Arabidopsis thaliana: one gene and its partner. The protein of the gene in region 1 interacts with the protein of each later gene in a pairwise test. Each region holds a gene or a part of one and is shown in the gene's direction. Other genes may lie near its edges.

Region 1 (3,754 bases):
GAAAGTTGGTGCTTTGTTTTCTCTTTGACTGATATTTAAGTGAAATTAATGAATGTTTATGATATAGTAGTATAGCTTATCGATATATACTCACCTTGTTCCTTCTTTCAGGATTTTTCGTTTTTCTTTAGCGTATATGTAACAAAAGAAGTATCACAAATTGTTGTACTGTCTCTCAACTCTTGAACGTGTGCCCTTGTAGTTGGCATTGGCGTCGTTACGTATTGCAAATGGGGTTCTTGGAGTGATTGACTTTGATAGGTTATTTCTCTTATTCTATATCCATCCCGATTATTTACCCTTTTAATCTTTCCATGATATTAATCTCGTGGTCTTGAATTTCTGTATATGCAAAGCTTTTTACTGGTTGTATTTTCAACTAAACTGCATTTGGTGCAGGTACCTAGAGAACATTGTTTCTCAACCGAACTCTGAGCACACGACTTCAGAGCTTACAAAGTTACTTGATAACATCGAATATTTGGTATTTACTAACTTCCATAATTATCTTAACAATGAAACTTGCATATCTAAAAGGAAGTTTTACTAGATGCTCTCTCTTATCTCAGGTAAAGAACTACAAGTGCCCAAGTGAAAAGGACATGAAGCATATCAACCGGAAGCTAAAATCTTGTCTAGGACATAGTTCTTCACATGACGAGTACACTAACAACCTCTCTTCTACTAATTCTTTTAACCACTATATATATTTCATAAGCTTTGCTTCTGCAATTGACTCCCTTCTCTATTTATCTTCATCAGGAGTAAGAAACGGGAGAAGAGATCAAAACACAAGTCCCATAGGAGCTCCAATGATACACCAAACGGGGCACCGCCACCCATAGGTTGAGTTTCTCGTACTGCCATTAGCAATTCTTCCTTTGCACTTTGGTTTAGTTTTAATCTTATTGAATGAGAAATTCGTCTTTTATAGTTTCTTCCCCGTTGTTGTTCTTACTAGTAAATTTGAGCAGATTATGTATAACAATGATATTGGCCATAAGTTTTGTTTATTCTGAAGATGTTAATGAATTTATAACAAAACTTCCATTTATTTTAAGTTTTGGTGTACATAACAATCGTCAAAAATGGTTTGTTTGCGATAATGATCAACTTTTTACATGATCAAAAGTTTTTCCAGACATTTTGATACTTTCTAGTTACTACCACATCTGTTCTTACACAGAAACAAATGGATATGACTAGTGTAGCGGTAACTATCAAATCCTAATAATAACAATGAAAATTTGTATTAAATAACCAAAAACCATCGAAAATAAAATTTGGATTGTGAATGAAACTTGTAAAGATGCTTGATTGGTTGTGCTAAATGTCTTTTACAGCCATAATATATTTGTTAAAGACTAAATTGTTGCCAATTATGTTATAGTTTTTTTCTTTAACTTAGAGCCCCAAAAAAAATCTTTTTGTTTTGACTGTAAATCTTTAATTTTCTACATCCTATTTTGTGTTGTAGATTTTTTTTTTTTTGTAGATTTTTTTTTTTTTTTCTCTCCTCTAACTTTTTGTCACGATTATTTTCAACTAATAATCTAAAATGTAGTTATATGAATAACAGATAAAGTATTTTATACATTTAGACAAATAATTTATAAATTTATATAGATTCCATTTACCTAGATGTGCAGAATTCTTTTTGTGTTTTTATTATAAAATTGTTATTAAATAATTTATATATATTCCATCTACCTAGATGTGCATAATTCAATTTGTGTTTTTATTTTATAATTGCTATTAAATAATTTTAGTAATTATGATATACAATTTTCTCATTTTGAAAAAAGGTAATTTATAAATATAAAATTCAAATATTTCTTAATCATAATTTTTAGTTACAACTAAAATATTTATTGCCAAAATCCTATATTTTTCAAATCTACAAAACCAAGAGGTTACCGTCAAAATTCTACAGTTAGAGCTTATACACTTATTGCCAATATTATACATAAAATATTTTACCTTATGCAAATGCCTATGCTTTTATGGGTCATAGACGGACCTGGCTACTGTGTAACTAATCACCCACATAATTTATCAGTCAAACATAACAAATTCTTTTTGTGCCAAAAAGTCAAAAACGTTAGAAACTGGATTTTGGAAGTTGATGCATGCAAATAGCAACTTGTCGTGCCGCGCTATATAAACGCTGCATCAAGTTTTCGTAATTAACTAAAACCAAATTAGTATTAATCCGAAAACTTGAAACTGTGGCTTCCTCCTCAAATCTCCGATCAACGGAAACAAAATGGCTCACATGGTGAGAGCGAGCTCTGGCCTTTCTTACCCGGAGAGATTCTACGCCGCCGCATCGTACGTCGGCCTCGACGGATCTCAATCGTCGGTCAAACAACTCAGCTCCAAATTCTCCAACGATACCTCTTTGCTTCTCTACACGTTGCACCAGCAGGTTCGTCAATTCGATTTCAATTGAATTCCATAGGGATCTGTTGATTTCTCTTCTTTCGCAATTTGCTACAGTAGATGTTGGTACGATCTCGCTCCGTACATTAGACAATGGAACTGTGCTTATACTTGGGATCATTGCTATGCGAAAACTGGTTTATTTTGTCACTGAGAGAGAATTTATTCAATCATCTTTGTGATAAAGATGTTTACTAATTTTGAAATCTTCTGCCTTGACATGTTAACAGGCTACTCTAGGACCTTGTAGTATTCCAAAACCGAGTGCGTGGAATCCAGTAGAGCAAAGCAAATGGAAAAGGTTGGTTTCACTTTTGTGTCTGTCAATACTATTCTACATTTGGAGAGGCTTTTAAGTATCATCATCAAATGTGTAAGTAGCTTTTTTGAGTACAAGTATCAAGATGTCTCATGAATTAGGGCTACAGCAACAAGTATCGTAGATTTTAGACTTGTATTTCCATCCTAGGGGAATACATGAAATAGGAGCTACCTTGGTTTTAGCATGCAAGAAAATTACTGGTAACATGTCAGGGAATGTCATCTTAGAGAATGCCATTATGGAAAGACAGATCGAGATCGCAGACCTCATAATGGCATTCTCTAAGATGACTTTCCCTGAGCAAAGTCATCTGTGTAAGCTTCCTAAGAAAAGTACATGTTTACTAGTTGGCAGGGGCTTGGAACCATGCCCTCCATTGAGGCAATGCGTCTATTTGTGAAAATCTTGGAGGTAATATCAACAGAGGAGTTTATTCTCATTTCTCTTCATTTGTTAATCATAGGCTAATTTCTTCCTATATTGCTCACTTTTCAAAAGGAAGCAGATCCTGGTTGGTATCCAAGGACATCTAACTCTGTTCTTGACCCTGCTGTACATGTCCAAATCAATGTGAGTTTTTCATCGCCTATACGTATGATCAAATTTCAGTTTTTGTATGTAAGTATTGCTACTAATTAATATAACAATGCCTCATCCGAGAAGTATCTTACTTTTTTACCTGTTGCAGAGCACAAAGGCTGAGCCTAGTTTTGAGAGTGGAGCTTCATTTGGTGAGACAAAGACGATTACTTCTGAGGATGGGCGCTTGACAGAAACGCAAGATAAAGATGTAGTTTTGGAAGACCCAGATACTGTTTCTGTGTATAATCAGTGGACTGCACCACGAACATCAGGTCAGCCACCAAAAGCCCGATATCAGGTAATATTTAATTTGACTCTCTTGTGGAACATGAAAGGAAACGATCTCTTCGTGTATCTTCTCTCTTTTCTCATTCTTGTTTACTATATCCGTTTCAGCATGGAGCAGCG
Region 2 (3,754 bases), on another chromosome or scaffold:
CAGTGAAAAGCTCTAGACTGAGGTTGAAGATCTGAATGGAGTTTTTCCATGAACAGCTTACTGTTTGACAAAAGGCATGAAGATTATGTTTGCTTTCCTTCAAGATTCTCACAAATGACTGACTTCAACCTTTGTATAAAATCTTGCAACCGGGCGTGTAATTTGGTTCTTGTGATTCATTCTCCCAAGTTTTCTTCTATAAAACTTTGTTCGTATTTCTGTACGTAGTTCCCTGTGTTGGGGCATAACCTGGGTTTGCTGTGTCATCAACATTGTTTGCAGAAAATCAAGAGCAAAGCATGAGCAGCTTCAGCAGAGATGCCTTCAAAGGCTTGAGTCAAGAGTTGCTTGTGGCAGGGACATGTCACCATCAAGCTAATGTGCAGCTGACGAGAACGTAAAAGGATAAGCTATGGCTAGCTTCTGGAATGCTCCGAGAAACACTTCCCCCTTTTTTTTTCTCTGAATTTCCTATTCAGTTTAATGGTATTCTGTGTTTGATTTTTCTTACTCGATTTTGTGCATTGAAAAAAATTATATCAAAAAGCTTGACTTGATCCAAACATGCATTTTCAATTGCTATTATTAAAAAAAAAAAACGTATAAAATTGTAGTCTCAATATTGAAATACAAACACCTAGAATTGATCGATTTGGTAGAGAACTAGTTAGTGGATTAAATTTGGGTTGGCTGATTTTCGAGCCATAAACTATTTCGATTCTCAGCTTTCACACCCGGACTTTTGGGCCTTTAAATTTCCACCATCAACTTTCATATTCCCAAAATTACATCATCTATTTTTGGATTCATGCTTAAACATACATTTCCAATTGAACCATTCATTTAACCGGGATTAACCACAAATCCGCGTTTACTGTACCGCGATTGCGATTAACCCAACTAATACCCAGACCCGTTAAGAAAACGACGTCGTTTTCATTTCGTTTAACTCATCAAAAAGAGAAAGAAAACGACGTCGTTTTCATTCTTCTTCTTTAACTCTCAAATCGATTTAGTCGTTCTTCTTTAATCTCGACACTGTGAAATTAGGGTTCTTGAGAGAGAAAGACAAAAGGGGATTTGGGGTTTTCTTCTTCGGTTCGAATTTTTGGGTCTCGATTTGGGTTTCGAATAGGGAGAAATGAAGAATTGGTGGGAGGAAAGATTGATTTACCAAAGCGATCCAGATGACCCCGATTTCGAACCTCCAGAGAGTGACATTGAAGCCGACGATGGAAGTGATAGTGGTGATAGCGGAGTCGAGGAGGACGAAGCCACCAGAATCGAGGGAGAGGACGTCGGGATAGATGGAGACAGAGCTTCTGATGGAGAGGAAAATAGAGAAGACGATGGTGACATAGCGTCTGATGGAGACGTCAATCTAGAAGACGATGGAGACAGAGATGAAAGTCAAAAGAAGAGGACTACCAAATCGATTTGAGAGTTAAAGAAGAAGAATGAAAACGACGTCGTTTTCTTAACGGGTCTGGGTATTAGTCGGGTTAATCACAATCGCGGTACAGTAAACGCGGATTTGTGGTTAATCCCGGTTAAATGAATGGTTCAATTGAAAATGTATGTTTAATCATGAATTCGAAAGTAGATGATGTAATTTTGAGGAATATGAAAATTGATGGTGGAAATTTAAGGGCCCAAAAATCCGGGAGTGAAAACTAAGAATCGAAATAGTTTATGACTCGAAAATCAGCCAACCCATTAAATTTTCGAACCTTCATCATTTTGCAGACCCCAAAAACGGAAATCATCAAATCATCCACCGTGCCAGCGTGACATTACAAAATCACGTAAATACCCTCGTGTTTGTTTATAAGGTAAAAAAAGATTGGCGGACCCAAAATGGTGCAGTAGTTAGGTGTACAAATTTTTTTTTGAAGGATCACTACTACGGCTCAAACAAGCCTGGGTCCATGTCACTACCACCGATGTCAGTCAAACAAAAATAATAATATATGTTTTTAAGTTCCTCTAATTTCAATCTTCTAAACAACAACCCTAAATCCTTATCTCTATCCTTGCGCTTGATCCAGATTCGGTTCTGATTGGAGCTGCCATGGAACGCATCATCGGCGGCAAGTACAAGCTCGGACGGAAGATCGGCGGTGGTTCGTTCGGAGAGATTTTTCTAGGTTTTGTGTTCTCCTCTGTTCTTGTCCCTTTGGTTTTCCGAGTTTGCTTTTTTATTTGAAATTGACGCTCTTCTCTTCTGTTTGTTGTTTTCGCAGCTACGCACGTCGATACCTTCGAGATCGTAGCTGTTAAGATCGTAAGTCCCAGCTCAATTTGCCTTGAGACGAATTGAATCCATCCAATCTGGAGATTTGATTTGGATCTGCTATGTCTCTTAATTGATTTTGTTTGAATTGCTTTACTCTAAAATTGAGCAAGGTTTTAAACTCGGTGCTTTTTAGCTGCAATATATTCTTCAAGCTAACACTTGTTTTTAATTCAATCATTTTCTCTTGCAGGAGAACAGTAAAACAAAGCATCCTCAACTTCTCTATGAAGCTAAGCTATATAGAATTCTTGAAGGAGGAAGTATGATTCTCTTTCCTCTCTTTTCTCAGTTGTTGGACATTGGAGGGATTCATTAGCAGTACAATACTAATTTTTATGTTATGTGTCAGGTGGAATTCCGCGCATAAAATGGTTTGGAGTTGATGGAACAGAGAATGCTTTAGTGATGGATTTGCTCGGTCCAAGTCTCGAAGATCTTTTCGTCTACTGTGGGAGGAAATTCTCACCAAAGACAGTCTTGATGTTGGCTGATCAAATGGTATGGCATGACTTTCAACTATTCATTAGGCTATTTATAATATCTGTTGACTTATACATTGATTATCTAATGTGCTTCCGATTTTCTTATCCCGCTGTTACAGCTAACAAGAATAGAATTTGTACATTCGAAAGGATATCTGCATAGAGATATTAAACCCGATAACTTCCTCATGGGCCTAGGTCGGAAAGCAAATCAGGTATATTTCTGCAACTTCTTATCTTCATCAGATGCCATAAGTAGAGTATGGTATGATTGATAAGTCTCATTTTTCAGGTTTATCTAATTGACTTTGGACTTGCCAAAAGATATCGGGATGCCAACACCAACCGCCACATCCCTTACAGGTATTGTGGCCTTGGTTCAATATACAGATTGTAAATGATCTATCTGTTTTTAAGTTTTACGGTCACGTTAATCATTATACAACTTATTTCCTTTATTCGGCTATATTCAGGGAAAACAAGAATTTAACAGGAACTGCACGATATGCAAGTTGCAATACACATCTTGGAATTGGTAAGAAATGCTGGCATTCTTTATCCTTATGTAAAAGTAAATCGCTTTTGCTCATATTTTGGGTTCTCTTCACAGAGCAAAGTCGACGGGATGATCTAGAATCGCTGGGATATGTGCTTCTGTATTTCCTAAGAGGAAGGTGTGTTGTCTTTTTGAAAGAAACTAGTTAACATTATGTTATTTCGCAGGGTATTTCTATTCCTTGTTTTTAGAGATTTACTTAACTGTTTTTTGTGTTCCTCATTTCATGAACGTCCTTTTCTAGTCTTCCATGGCAGGGTCTTAAGGCTGTTGACAAGAAGCAAAAGTATGATAAAATCTGTGAGAAGAAGATATCAACTCCCATTGAGGTATGTTTCCCTATTGTGTGATTGATTCTTTTTTTGTTAATCCTCATTCGACTAAGTATATATCGATATCCCATTGCAGGTGCTATGCAAA

The links.
Region 2: the proteins of ACBP5 (region 1) and ckl3 interact in a two-hybrid assay, tested with the Arabidopsis thaliana proteins (one large-scale study listed by BioGRID).

The regions. Positions count from the first base shown.
Region 1 is NC_003076.8:9,773,835-9,777,588, forward strand, and holds the start of ACBP5 (acyl-CoA binding protein 5), read left to right. Parts: upstream 1-2,019; 5' UTR 2,020-2,266; coding exon 2,267-2,428; intron 2,429-2,672; coding exon 2,673-2,743; intron 2,744-3,111; coding exon 3,112-3,175; intron 3,176-3,262; coding exon 3,263-3,334; intron 3,335-3,452; coding exon 3,453-3,644; intron 3,645-3,742; coding exon 3,743-3,754. Other genes in the region: CYCH;1 (cyclin H;1), read left to right, coding at 203-261, 400-484, 570-845. UniProt on the Arabidopsis thaliana protein: Binds medium- and long-chain acyl-CoA esters with very high affinity. Can interact in vitro with oleoyl-CoA, barely with palmitoyl-CoA, but not with arachidonyl-CoA. May function as an intracellular carrier of acyl-CoA esters.
Region 2 is NC_003075.7:14,249,280-14,253,033, forward strand, and holds the start of ckl3 (casein kinase I-like 3), read left to right. Parts: upstream 1-1,855; 5' UTR 1,856-2,071; coding exon 2,072-2,147; intron 2,148-2,243; coding exon 2,244-2,284; intron 2,285-2,486; coding exon 2,487-2,556; intron 2,557-2,645; coding exon 2,646-2,794; intron 2,795-2,897; coding exon 2,898-2,993; intron 2,994-3,070; coding exon 3,071-3,141; intron 3,142-3,251; coding exon 3,252-3,313; intron 3,314-3,388; coding exon 3,389-3,452; intron 3,453-3,578; coding exon 3,579-3,663; intron 3,664-3,742; coding exon 3,743-3,754. Other genes in the region: AT4G28870 (mutator transposase MUDRA protein), read left to right, coding at 1,142-1,441. UniProt on the Arabidopsis thaliana protein: Protein kinase involved in blue light responses (e.g. hypocotyl elongation and flowering) by phosphorylating CRY2 to reduce its stability.